Linked DNA regions of Alligator mississippiensis. Each later gene encodes a partner of the first gene's protein in a complex. Links are inferred from orthologs where the notes say so. Each region holds a gene or a part of one and is shown on either strand. Other genes may lie near its edges.

What was found. The genes of interacting proteins can lie anywhere in the genome.
Region 2: TPRKB (region 1) and GON7 share a complex: the UniProt entries of both Homo sapiens proteins name them as parts of the EKC/KEOPS complex. The link is inferred for Alligator mississippiensis from reciprocal best matches to the Homo sapiens genes TPRKB and GON7.

What each region holds. Positions count from the first base shown.
Region 1 is NC_081827.1:30,117,641-30,125,383, forward strand, and holds the start of TPRKB (EKC/KEOPS complex subunit TPRKB), read left to right. Parts: upstream 1-4,673; coding exon 4,674-4,817; intron 4,818-5,965; coding exon 5,966-6,088; intron 6,089-7,743. Other genes in the region: ALG10 (dol-P-Glc:Glc(2)Man(9)GlcNAc(2)-PP-Dol alpha-1,2-glucosyltransferase), read right to left, coding at 312-1,367, 3,114-3,311, 4,454-4,618. UniProt on the Homo sapiens protein: Component of the EKC/KEOPS complex that is required for the formation of a threonylcarbamoyl group on adenosine at position 37 (t(6)A37) in tRNAs that read codons beginning with adenine.
Region 2 is NC_081825.1:276,407,867-276,414,516, reverse strand, and holds GON7 (EKC/KEOPS complex subunit GON7), read left to right. Parts: upstream 1-4,268; 5' UTR 4,269-4,440; coding exon 4,441-4,645; intron 4,646-5,914; coding exon 5,915-6,027; 3' UTR 6,028-6,050; downstream 6,051-6,650. Other genes in the region: putative E3 ubiquitin-protein ligase UBR7, read right to left, coding at 973-1,033, 1,618-1,751, 3,839-4,018. UniProt on the Homo sapiens protein: Component of the EKC/KEOPS complex that is required for the formation of a threonylcarbamoyl group on adenosine at position 37 (t(6)A37) in tRNAs that read codons beginning with adenine.

The DNA.
Region 1 (7,743 bases):
GCCTGTAAACATATCTCTCATTTCACAGTATTTGTAGAATATTTGGTTTTACCTTTTGAATTTTTCCTGATGTTGTTTTTATTTATTCCAGAACCTCTTAAATTTGGTTAATACTTGGTCATATGAAAAACAGATCCGATCTCACATAGAGTTGCAAGAATTTAAGCATCCAACACATTACACTTCCTCCACCCCAAAAGGGGGAAAATAATCACAGAGAAACACACACTTAATTTCAGGGCCTACTGACCCTATTCATTGCAGAAAAGGCAGAGAATTTGTTCTTTCTAGGAATACAAAGATACACAAAATCACCACATAAACCTCTGGATTTCTTCACTATTTGGCCATTGGAATGTTTTGTTCAAAAAGAGATGTAAAGTTACTGCATTAACAACAACATATAAAGCAAACTCAAGAAGCTGCCCAGAAAGAGGTGGAAAAGGAATATTTAGCCTATATATTAAAAATGGCAAAATGAAGTAACGAAATTCCAACAGCTTCTGAGGAACTGTGACAGCAGACAAACATACAAAAAATACTAAGTTCCAGAAAATGGATTTTGATTTCAGCGAATCAGTAAAACTCCACCCAGCAAATATGTAGACTGGAACTAATACATATTTCACAAATTCATGTCTTTGAAAGATTTTTCTCCATATATAGAACGTGTAATGCCTGTTATCTGCAAGCAGATACTTATGAACATAGGTAAATTTCCAGACCAGGAATAAAGAAATGGCAATTAGTATACCATAGTGCATTGGGTGCTTTCGTAATGACTGAAGGAAATTTCCAATTTTACAAGGAGTTATTAAGTAAGGAAAGGAAAAAAAGAGGGTAAAGGAGAAAAAGTAGAACAGCTGAGGGAAATGCAAGCAGGCTTCATGATTACTCCTGTCTCCAACAACTATTCCTCCATTGATGACCACAAAAGTAAAAAATGCACTTACTGAAAGGATATATGGCCAAATCAAAACTACAAGTGCAACAAGGTTTTTAAAGGATATGATGTACTTAATAAGGAACTGTAGTATTCTGATTATTTCTGAAAATGATTCTTTCGTAGATGAAAACTTTTCTTCTTTCTTTTTCATCAGTTCAGTCTTCCATGCTTCATTTAGCCTTTCTGCAACAACACTTCCCCCACAGAAAATAGTCCATACAATATTTGTCTGACGAAACATAAAGCCACAAAACCCAAGCAGGGCTGAAGTTTTATGGTTACCATAAAGGCACATCAAATATGAAAAAAGAGTAAAAAATGTTGATCCTGTGTCTGTATAATAAAGGAATGTAAAAAAATAAAGGGTAGGAAATATTGCAAGAGTTAATGTAGATAATATTCTCTGGAAACCAGACACAGCCTAGAGAAGGGAGGGGAAAACAAAATTAGTAGTATTACTTCTATTGAAGAACAAAACACACCAGCAGTCAAACAGTCTATTCTTTAGAGTTTTAGTACCATAAAATAACATTTCTTGTGCTCTTTGATTCCGCTTTTTATTGTAACAGTGCATACCTTGCATTCTGCTATGCTAATACAGAGCACAAAACAATGAAATAGGAGAAGGATCAGAAGATTGCACACTATTGGTGCTGAATTAAAAGTGAACTGCACAAAAAACAAAATGACATTAACATAACATCAATATTTCAGGTCTCTATATAATGACTATTGTGGTTCTGCTGCTGAAAATACTCAAATAATGTAGAGTGGTTCCCTTGGATTCACTGTGTATATCTGAGTGGTCCCACTGAATTCACTATGCATTCACTATACACATACAGGCACACTGTGAACTCAGTAGGACCACTCAAATATCTTAGCATTTTCACAACAGAACCACAAAAGCTGCCACCATCAAGGCTCAGGGGACAGCATTCAATTATTAAAAAACAAAACAAAACAAAACAAAACAAAAAAACCCACATAATTTTCAACTGTTTGGGGAGGATTAAAAAACTCAAAAAACACGTGCTCTACTGGAAGCAGCAGTGCGTTACTTTGACCCGGCTCTGCAGCGTCTGTAGAAATCGGGTGCTTCGGCTGGGTTTTTTGGCACTTTTAGCTAAAGCCAATTCAATCAGCTACTAGATAAAAGCTCCAAAAAAGCCCCACTAAAAGAGCCCGCTCTCTACAGACATTGGGAAAGCTGGGTGCAACTAACACGCTGCCTCTTCAGGCCATGTGCTGCGCTTGGTGCAGGAGCACACTGAGTTTAAAGTGCCATTTTTGGGGGTTTTTCCACATCTGCAAGCAGTCTTAATTCATATCCTCTAATTTCAGCTCCTTCTCACATCCCAGAATGCATCAGTCCACAAAAAAACAGTTACTATAGCCTCCACTGAACCTGAACCATAAAGGGTTAGTTTGGTTTCTGATCTGTGATAGTTTCCTTTAGATATCTTTCCAAAAACATTCTGCTCAGCTACAAGTGAAGGGTTTTATGCAGGCCTGTCCCATGCAATTCAGACTAGATGATGGTCCCTTCACATTATACAATCTATGACTATTAACTTTGTGCACATAAGCAGTCCCCTTAACACAGTGGTTCTCAATCATTTCAGATTCAAGACACACAGTGGAAAATGCCAGCTCTTAGCTTTCCCTCATTTCTTTAACTACAGAAAAATAATAAAGCAATGCTTCTGCTGCAAAGACCTCATAAAGACCATGGCACTAAGAACGTTTTTGATGCTCTAGATTCCTATGTGAAATCTGTGGGTTTGTCTTGTGAACTGTGTGTAGGTATGTGCAAACCTAAGAGTACCATTATTGTGCACCACTGTAGAAGGATATTGCGGTACCCTAATTGAGAATCACTGAATTAATTTCAGTGGGACTATCCATGTGTATAAAGTTAAACACAAATGCCAATCTTTTCAGGAACAAGCTTTAAGGAAAGCAGAAAAATCTGTGTTTAAAGAAAAAGACATAGATCATCACAGCAATGTGAACTGGCAGTATGATTCAAGTATCTGTATCTGGATAAAGCTGATGATAATTCAAACTCCTTGCAACATAAACTAAGGGCCTAGGCTATTTTTAAAGCTGTCTGCATTATTGTACATAACTTCCCTAGCTCAAGTGTAAAGGATTTAGACTGTACCTTGTTTTTCTGATGGATCTTGCTCAAAAGCAAATACAGCAAGTAGAAGTTGCCAACACTGAAAAGGAGGTTAATAAACCTGAGCATTCCTGTCGAGCACACTACGCTTCCAGACCATCCAAAGAGCCATGCTGCAGGCTTCACTATTCCAACAGACACCAGGTATAAGCCAGGTAATGTAGTGATCATAGGGTCCCACTTCAAAATGAAAAAGATACGGGGGTTAAAGGAGTTGGAAAGTATGAAACCACACCAGATATAAACAAGAAAAGCTTAAGAAACCTAAGTCTCTAGCTTCATTGAGATGCATATAGAAAATCATTTGCTCCAAACAAGCTTTATATATCATAAACCACCCTACCTGTACACAAGGAATACGCTCCCACTGTGCAGGTCACACACTTAAATGTGTTGCTCACATGAACATACATACAGGTATGGCACATACAGGTATAAGCCAGTGTTTCCCAACCAGTGTGCTGTGGCACAAAAGTGTGCCATCAGAAATGAACAGGTGTGTCACGAAACTCTGCCGTGGCACTGAGCTACACTAGGTATGAGGATGGGGAATGCCTTAACAGGTGTGACACAGCAAATCTGTATTAATGTAAGTGTGCCCTTGGGCTGATAAAAGGTTGGGAAACACTGATATAAGCACATGTAACATGCACACGTAGTGCGTGCACACATAGCACAAATATGTATAGTACGCATGCACAAATAATTCCCACATATATCGTGTGTGCATATACGGTGCCTATATATATATATTAGTGCACACACAAATATGTAGTGCATGGGGGGGGGTGTAGATAGATATATATAGACAGTGCACACGTGTATGTAGTGCACGGGGGGGTGTCAATAGATAGAGCGCACACACATATATGTAGTTCACAGGGGGTGTAGATGGATATATATATAGTGCACACATGTATATGTAGTACAGATATACATATAGTGCACACGTATATGTAGTTCATGGGGGGAGGTGTAGATAGATAGAGTGCACACACGTATATGTGGTGCACAGGTGTGTGTGTGCCCACATACAGCATGCTCAGAAACTTACCAAATACACATGAGGTGTGCACACACACACACACACCTACCTACACCAAGCATGCACACGTAGTGCCCCCACACAGTACACATATGCACAGCGCACATGCACACACGCCCGCGGTGCCCGCGCTGTACACACGTGGCGCACACGCTCGCGTTGTACCGACGCATCTCCCAGAGCAGTGCGCGGCGCCCGCGTCCCACCCCCGGGGCAGGCGGCGGCGGCGGCGGCGGCGGCAGGGCCGAGGGGCCGGGCCGGGCCGGGCCGGGCGCACCTGGCGGAAGCGGGCGGCGCAGTAGGCCCGGGCCTGGGGGACGTGGAAGGTCTCATCCATGTAGGGCTCGCGCTGCCGGCGGTTGATGGCGGCGAAGAGCAGGCACGAGAGCAGCAGGGCTCCGCTCAGCGCGGCCCACAGGCCGAAGCGCTCGGCCCGCTCCATGGCGGCGGGGCGGGGCGAGGGCGGATCCGCTTCCCCGAGGTGGGCCGGGCCCACGATGGCGGCGCACCGGCAGGAGCTGGAGCTATTCCCCGGGTGCGGCGTGGCCCTGGCCCTCTTCCGACACGTCCGCAACGCGGCGGCGCTCCGGGGCGCGGCCCTGCAGGGCTCGGTGGCGGCCGCGCTGCTCAGCCCGGCCCTGGTGAGCCCCGCCCGCCCGCCGCACTGCCGAGCCCCGGGGCCAGGCCCTGCCCCTTCCCCCCGCCGGGCCGGGCGGCCTCCCTCCCTCCCTCCTGCGCACAGCCGGGACCGTCCAGCCCCTGGGCAGCAGGACGGAGCAGCGCTGCCTGGCATCGATGTGGGTCGGGCTGGCTGTGTGGGCCACTTGGTCTTCGCGCCAGCACGGGGGCCCGCCTGGCCAGAGCAGGCCGTAAACCCTTTGACGTTGATCCATGCTGTGGCCAGCAGTGTCTTGAATGAGTCGCGTTTTTAAAAAACGTCATTTTGAACGGTTTTCATGTCCGTCTCATGTCTGGGCCCTTTGCTCTTATTTCAGTCCGTAAATATTTTCAACGTCCTACCTGACCTTCTGGCTCATTTTATGGGAGAGAAATAGGAGTTCATGAAGGAACCGTGGGGCTCTGCTGCTGGATTAACCTAATTTACATTGTTTGCTATGGAAGCATGTACTCCATCCTTATTTAAGCTGTTTTCTCACTGGGGGCACATCTACACATTCAGTTAATGCAACTGAATATACTTTATCTTGGGCAAAATGCGGCCCGTGGGCTGGATGCGGCCCGCCAGCCCATTCTATCCGGCCTGCGGGACCCCTAAAAAATTTAGAAAATTAATATTTATCTGCCCCGTCTGCCTGCCATGCGGCCCTCAATGGCTTGCCAAAACTCAATAAGCAGCCCTCCGCCCAAAAAAATTACCCGTCCCTGCTCTAGCTCAATTTGAGCTGGAGTAAACTAATCCCAACATCACAGTCTAGACATGTGTTTAAGTGCAGTAATTTACTGCACTGCCAGATGCCACTTGTATCTCGTGGGACTGTCCAGCAGCACAATCAATTAGTCTACTGCATCCTAATTGCCATGCCCCTGTAGATGGTGATGCTTTACTGCGCAACATTTGTCTGCTGCACAATAGAGCGTCTCTTGTAGACATGCCCACTGAGCCATACCAGTGACTTAAGTGGGACAATGTGTTGTCCATTCAGAATAAGGCTTTCAGAATTTAGGGTAGGTAGGAGATCAAGAAGTAATGAAGAAAAAAAAAAAGTGTTTCTACCTAATTCAAAATTGTATTATTTAAATAATCTTTTTCTGCTGTTCTGTTCCACAGATTGTTGATCCATTTCAGATACTTGTGGCAGCAAATAAAGCAGTTCACCTCCACAGGATTGGTAAAATGAAGACCAGAAGTCTTTATGCAGAAATTATTTTCAACCTCTCCCCAAACAACAATGTAAGACTTTGCTAAGCAAATACATCTGTCACCGGGTGCCAAAACCCACAGGGACTAATTACCTTTCTTTCAGGCACCTGGATTCCAAATGAAATTCCGTGGCCAGTGTTGGGTAACTAAGTTCTCCATGAGTTGTGAACCATGCTAGTGGTGCTCAACCTCCAGCTCACAGAGCCATGCCCTCTGGCCTGTGGGGCTTCTGCAGGTTCTGGAAATCTGAGGGAGCAATGTTAATTGCTTCCAGAGCCACCGTAATTAATGCTGTTACTGCTCCCCTACCACCATGCTTCCAAACCCATGAGGAGCCCTGCTGCCCACATGACATAGCCTCATATCCCAGATTGCACCAGTGGATGGTTGCTCTGCAGCTGGATCCAACACATGGATTCAGAGTGGTGTGCAGGGTCACACCACAGCCAAATCATCCCTGCATATGTACCTGGCACACCAACCCCACACTGAGTAGATTCGAGTCATAAACACACTGGATTCGAGTCATAAACTGGGCCCATGAGCAGGATCCAGTCTGCAGGACCAGAGAGATTGAGCACCACTGTTTTATACAATGATTTAGGGGGGTTTAGAAATCTGGCAATGGAATTCAAAAAATCCATATTGAACCTGGATTTCTTACTTTCTACTTAAGTATTCATACTATTGGGCTATTACATAAGAGGTGGACATCTCTTTTTATTGCCATGTTTTTAAATGCAAATGGCAGTGGCTGCTGTGTTGTGTGGTGTCTCTGTGTGTTAGCTAAACAGGTCTACCAGATTGGGCCTGCTGGTGGATTTATGCAAATGAACACCTAGTTTGTAGATCCTAAATCAGTGGTTCTCAATCTTTTTGGACTCAAGGCACCCCTCCATAACTTGTGTGAATTGAGTGGCACTCAGTTTCAAAACTAATATATATTACAGTGCTTACTACTTTGCAGAGGAGGTGGGCAACTGGGGTGGGGGGTCAGCTAGGTAGGGAAACACCTGAGTTTGCGCTTATCTGCTTTCCTCCTCACACCTTGGGCATCCTTCAGAAGGTGCTGCTGCCATGGTCCCTTGGTTGAGAATCACTGTCTTAAATGGACTTAAAGAGTGAGATAAATACTGAGCTGTTGAGCCCTACCAGAATGGCAGCAATTCGGCACAAGGCCAGTCTAGCAGAACTCTTGGTGCTTACAGAGCTTTAATGGTAAAAACTTGGGTGCCTTTGGTCTTTTTACCACCGAAGAGGTTATGTGGGAGCTTTATGGATCTAACTTTTGGAATTTGGTGCTTGAATTCCAGCTGCATCCCACTTAAGACGCCTAAGTACTTTGGTGCACCTGGACCCCAGCACCCCAGTAAGGCAGCTAAAATAGTAAAACTTCTCTGGTTACACTTCAGTGCATGCCTACCTTCCAGTGCTGTGCTGTCTTCTCTGTCGCATCCATGACAATCAGGAATGTTGATTCCCCAGATTTTCTTTTTATGCAGTCAAATTCTATAATCATTTTTCTTTAGAAAAACTAAAAACAGTTCTCTATGAAAACTGTAGAATACTTTTCCAGCCTATATTTATTCGTTTGCTACACTTGTAAGAGCATTAAACTACTGAGACATTTCATCATCAGAGGAAACTACTGTCAGTGTTTGAAAATAACTTGAGGCCTTAATGTT
Region 2 (6,650 bases), on another chromosome or scaffold:
AATCTCCTCATACCTGCTTATCTCCTCGCATCTCAGGGTACCCTTCGAAGGGTTTTGCATCAGCCTGGGGTGCTATAGCACCCTGGCTGAGAATCATAAAACCATAGATAAGTAGGGCTGGAAGGGACCTCCAGAGATCATCTACTCCAGTGGTTCTCAACCTTTTTTGTACCAGGATCCATTTGTAAACACTGATGGCCAGTCCTGACCCAGTGCCCCTCACTCTTGACCTGCAGTGTGCAGGGCAGGGGGTGGGTATGTGGGACAGAGGGGGCCCCAAGCATGCCCTTGCAGGCTGGAACCCTGACAGCCTGCAAGGAAAAAGCTACAGCTTCTCATATTTTTTTCTTTAAAGGAGAATCCATTTTTACAGGTTGTTCACAACCCTCCCTTTCATATATTCTAGCGACCCACAGATTGAGAAACGGTGATTTAGCCCAACCCCTGGAATCAATGCACTACAATTTTATCCAAACAAACCTATGAGTTCTGAACCTTCAGTTCTGCCCATACTTCTCAATATTTTACCAGTGTTTTAGATTCAGTGCTGTAGGGTCTACTGAACCGCATGTTCTTCCCATCTTCCAGAATGGAATTCAACACCTCACTCTGCTTACTGGTAACAGTAAAACCATTCTAAGTCATGTTCTTTAGGACCTGTACACAAGCTAACCCAGTTTAGCCAACTTATGTGACTGGTACCCAAAGAATTTAATTAAAACTAGATTTTAAAAGTTATAGCCTGTCTCTAGCAACAGCTGTAAGTCCTGGTTTTGCTGTGCAAATCTTAACTCTATACAATGCAATGAACCCATTTTAAACATAGCTTCTGTAATCAGTTCTCTTTTGAGAGTACATTGGTTTTTGTGACAGAAAAAAACACAACTAAACTCTCCTACTTGGAGAAGCAATACTACCACCAGCTTTTATTATTCTCTACAGAATGAAGAAGATAGCAATGTTTAAACTTACTGGAAGTAATCTGCATTGCAAATTTTTGAATTTGCTGTTTCCACAGTCACAGCAGAAGTTTCTGGAAAAAAAAAAATATAGCAGTTCAGATATTTTTTTAAATGTCTCAAAATGATTTTATTTTTATATTTTTAAGGGCTTCCCACTGCCAGCTGAGAACTAGAACATACTCTCATAAGCTAATTCACAATATCATCTTTTAGAACTGATCAAAGTCCAGCAGCATTACTCCCTCATGCTAACAGCCTGTCAGATTTCAGTATCATTGTCAAGTAGAATCACTATTCAATTGGGATACTCTTCCGGCCCATGTAATTATTGCTGCCGAGAATACTCTTAGGCTTATGGGTAAGCATATGTGTTTGAAAGACAGCGACTGTGAGTTGACTTGAACCTGGAGGGGATCTGGGACAAAAGCACGATAAACCAATGTAACCTAAATCACTTAACTGGTTTATCTTAAACCAGTTCTGGCCATTTTGAATGTGGTTTATGTGCACTGAACTTCTGCTGTTACAGATTTAAACCGGTTTGTGTGTCATTTCTGTCCCTAGACTTACAGGTATACGCCATCTTCAATATTGCATTTTACTGCTTCGTGATGTAAATGGAAGTACCTCAGAAATGGCCCCAATAGTGCTTTACCTTTTTGTATACAATTCAAACAGCTTGTGTGTTCCATGACACTCATAACTGCAGGCTAAGCATATCCCTGCCGGTTCTTCTCCTGGCGGAGTACAAGTACTGCAAGCATATAAAGCTTGTCTCTTTACAGCACCCTACAAAGAAACAACAGATATAAAAAGAGAGAGAGGCACAGAAATAATCTGAAAAAGGTCATTTGCTGTTTGACTGAAGTAGTAAATGCAGTTTGTCATAAGCAAAAAGCAAGTTAATGCTGATGTGCAAGCTAGCACCAGAGGTTCAGAGAGAATCAGTATTTATTTGGCAGTATCTTTTACTAAATTAACCGTAAAGTGGGGAAAGATGTTAGACAAGCTTTTGTGCACAAAGTGCCTGTCTTCAATTCTGGGCAAACAGCAGGTACGTACAGCCTGAAGTAAACACCAGGTAAAACAAGAATCTTTTTCATTTACACAATGGAGTTAAACAACAGCACTTAATAAGTAGAGAGGTAATTAGCATCTGACAAAGTAGACTGCTGCCAATGAAGGCTCATGCCTCTTTAAAAGAGTTGGTCTCTACAGTGCCACCCTGCCCTGCTGATGAGACTTAAAGGAAGGGAAGACAGCAGTAAGCCTGTGGCATTAAAGGAAGCCATCAAAAGCAGCTACAAACCAAGAAAAAGGCAGCTGAAATAAACCTATAAATATATAGATTTGTTTATTTAGATTCACCATTTATTTTCACCACAATAATACCAGGCAAAAGGGGGGAGACTAACGGGGAGCAAATAAATCATAAGCTGTAAAACTACTGTCTGCGTTCAGTCCATAGTTTTAGTGTCCCATAAAACCCTGTGCCTGAAAGCTTACTGAATCTCAATAAAAAATATTGCAAAACAAACCTTGTTTCTCTCATTCTCTGAAGAGAATCCCAGCTCAAACGCTAGAACCTTGCTACAAAACAGAATGACAGCATTCACAGTGCAAATGCACCCCGTTTAACTGCACAGTGTTGGGACTGATAAAAGGGTCCGTATTTACCCCCATCTCAATGTCGATAATTACTCATTAATTACAGGAGCAAGTGAGCTAAACTTTTTGCACCTCAAAAAGGTTTCTTATCTTGTTTCTCAAAACACCTTATAAACAAACAGCCTTAAAATTGGCAGGGCCTAGTAGGCTTGAGCTTGCCTTAGAAGCCTCGAAATGGACAGCTCCCAGCCAGCTTCGATCATGCAGTTAAACCCTGTGCAACTAACTTACAAAGCAGAGGATTCCCATGCACTTAAGCAGCTAATGCTTTTAACGAATACGTGAATAGCTGATGATCGTTTCAATGTAAGTAACAGGTAATAAACTGGGACTGACCCTGCGCTTCACAATTAAGCTAATTATGCACTTACGTGATATGCACACCCATACAGGATGCTTGAAAACTTTATGAATAATATCTCATAGTCCCAAGGGCTGACCTCCAAGGCACTCTTCAAAAACACTGCTTACTAAAGCCTCCCTGGCAGGTCGACCCTTTTTTGCAGGCAGGCCTCAAAATAGCTCAGCCACTTCCTCAAGTGCCACTTTAATCCTCTTCCCCTGCCCAATTTTTCTGATCCCAGCCCCAGCCCCAACCCCTGCATGGCCTTCTGCTCCCTGCCCTGCCTGCCACGGCGCTGCCCGTCCCCTCCCTGATCTGTCACGGGGGCTGCTAGGGCCTGTGCTGCAGGCTGGCCACCCCAATCTACCAGCTGCACCTCTTCCCTTGCCTCGGCCTAGCTTCACACTGCCCCAGCTCACAACCTCTCTCTCTGCTCTTTAAAGATGTGAGGTGGGGCTGTGGCATGTCAAGTTCTGCCACAAGCTACACGACACCCACTGACCAGCCTGGCGGTCACCTCTCCCTCTTCAGGGAGGAGGAAAAGCAGGGGAAGACCAGGGCCGTGGGCCCCACACGCCCCTGTCCCTGCCTCCTGCACCCCGGTTCTCTCCACCTGGCCACCACACCCAGGGGATGGCTCCCCAGCCGTCAGCCCTCCACAGGGACCCCAGGGGCCAACAATCCTGCCTGTGAGCCCTGGCCGGGCGCGTGTGAGCAGGGGGGGGGGGGGCAGAGCTCAACATCGGGGCACTGGGGGGGGACTCCCCTCCAACCCTCTCCCTACCCCGCCCCCCAGCACAGGCCCCTTCCCCGGGCACAGGCCCCGCCCCGTTACTATCCACCTGCCCCCGCTCCGCCCCCTCACCTGCGAGTAGCTGCAGCGCTCGTGGTCGCTCCCGCCCAGCACCGCGCGCGCCTCCTTCTCCAGCTCCTCGTTCTCCGCCAGCACCTCGGCCAGGGACACCACGGGCTCGTCCGGGGCACCCGCGCAGCCGCTGCCACCGCCGGAATCCGCGCCCCCCGCCGCTGCCGCCGCCTCCTCCATCGTTGGACCCGAGCGCGCAAGGCGGGAAACGCCGAACCACCGCCAGGGGGCGCCGCGGCGGAAACGGAACCGCGCACCCGTCACGTGACGCAGCCGGTGGCGGGGACTCGGAATGTGACCCAGGCGGGACGGGAGGGGAGGACACTCTGGGCAACCAGTCACAGAAGGAGAGGGGGCGGGGCTGGCCAATGGGACGCCAGGGGGAGGGGCGCGGCATGTGACGCGAGGGGGTAGGCCAGCCTCCGCCACGTGACCGAGGAGGGGTGGTGCGCGGGGCTTGGCTGCCGGAGGACGAGCAGTTTGACGGCCGTTGGACCTAGGCGTGGGCCTGCCAGTGATGACGCCTTCCGGGGGAGCGCAGTTCGGGCGCTGATTGGCTACGGGCGGTGCCGCTCCAGGCCGGTCCGCGAGGGGGAGGGGGTATGGAGCTGCGCGCGGAGCTGACGGGGCGCGACGGACTGAGGCAGCCGCTGCGGGTGCGCTGCGAGCCCGAGCCCGGCGTCGGGGCGGGCGGGGAGCTCCGCGCGCTACGCCGGGGCCTGGCCCAGCTGCAGGAGCAAGTCGCGGCGCTGCTCGGGCCCCTGGTGCAGCAGGAGAGCGGCGCCGGCCCCCGCGGGGGCGCCCAGGGTGAGCGGGGGGGGCGCGGCTCGCGCGTTCGGGGCACGGGGGCTGAGGAACAGCGCAGTGTCTGCTCGCGGCCCTGGCGCTCGGTGCGTGCGGGAGCGCCTGGTTCACCGCGTCCTAAATGTAACGTGTGCCGGAACCCGGAGCGGAGCGGGTCCCTGCTGGGCAGGTGGTGGAAGGGCCAGAGCCCAGGCAGCTTGTCCAGGGAGCGTAGGGGGGCTCCCACCACTGTACCCACACCAGCTGAGGCCCCAGGTGGCACATGCTTCCTGCATCTGCGCGCAGCGGAGGCAGCTGTCGTTGTGGGCTGGGCTTTGAGGGAGTGGGCAGGGGAAGGCCCTGAACAGCCAGGGCACAGGATGGAGCAGTAAGTGGCTTGTCTGGGGGTGGGGGGACACAGCCTAGGAGGGAATGGGAGGCATATGCAGGGGACAAGCAGGAGCTGGGGGGACAAGCAGAGGCCCGGAGGGCACATGCCCTGGCCCAGCCAGGGCCCTACTTCCCCCAACCCCTGCTCCTGTCTGTGCCCTGGTCCCTCCCTCGCTGCGGGGGGCCTTGATCTGCCCCTTCCCCCACAGACTTACCTGATGAAGAGCCACAGCCCCAAATCATTTTTTCTCTCTCTGCCTCAATCTGTTCCTCCCCTTCCTTCCCCATAGATTGACCTGTGGGGGGAGAGGGTGGCACATGGTAGATCTTGAGTTGTTTTTTAGTTCAAAAAGTGATCTCCTACTTAAAAAGGTTGGAAACCACTGTTAGAGGATGGTTTCAGGTTGGATGGAAGGAAGAACTTGTTTACGGTAAGGGTCACCAGAATCTGGAGTAGACTTCCCAAGAAGGTGGTGCAGTCCCCAACCTTGGAAGTCTTCAAGAGGAGATGGGACAGACACCTTGCTGGGATCATTTGATCTCAGCAGTACTCCTGCCCAGAATAGGGGGTTGGACTTGGTAATCTTTTGAGGTCCCTTGCAGCCCTTTATTTCTATGAGAAAAACCCAGAGGTTGCTAATAGGACTCCATGGTGCTAGAAACCTGACCTGCTGTGGTCTTTTTGAGTACTTTGTAATAGGATAATTTGCTCTAGTGTTTTTCTGTAGTCTAGTGCAAACTAAGACCTGCCAGTTTCCGAGGGGTGCCTTGGGTCTAAAAAGATTTGAGAACAGCTGATTTAGAGACTCTCCGTCTTCAGAGCCCTCTGGTTCCCTCACCTCAAAACATGGATTTGCAAACACTTCTTCTGTTACTAACCTATGTATTGTAACCTTTTACAAGGTGATGTTGGGGAAGAGGAAGAGGATGAAGATGAGGACCAGGAAGAAAACAATGTTGACAAAACACATTCAGATGAGCCACCCTTAAAACGGACAAAAATTCAGCACTCCTGACTGTTGCCTTAAAGACTCCTTAGCATTTTAGAAAAAGACCCAACAGTTCTATCAAATGTATGTTTAACTGGACAGTCTTACTTCCGGGGAAAAAATGGAATATTTTTGGAAGCCAGGTATCCGCATTTCTGTTCTAAAATACAACCAAGCTGAAGAGAAATACCATTTTGTTTTTCTAGTATTTAATTTTAATAAATAATCTGACAAAAGAAATAAGGGTGGCTTGTTTTGGGTTTTTTAAATATTTTTAGGTAGATGAAAATTATTATTTTAATGTTGGAGAGAAGAGAACATGGAACGTAAATGTCAAGAGGAGCTTCTGGCAAAGACATTGTACACAAACAGTTGTATGTTTTGGATACTCCCTGAGCATAAAACAGTCTAGAGCTGTTAAAGGAACTACTCCCAAGCTCTGTATTTATTTGTATCACTTTTAAAATTGACAAACTTGGAAGAAAAAAAAGACAGTTTATGTACTTGAAATGGTAGAAACAATAAGCTAACAATTACCTGTGAAGAAGTTGTTAGAGATGTATATAAAATAATTTGAGGATTCTAGACTGGCTTAAATACATAAGCAAGGAAATAATTTAAAAAAAATTGCTTTAAAAAAGCCTACAAGA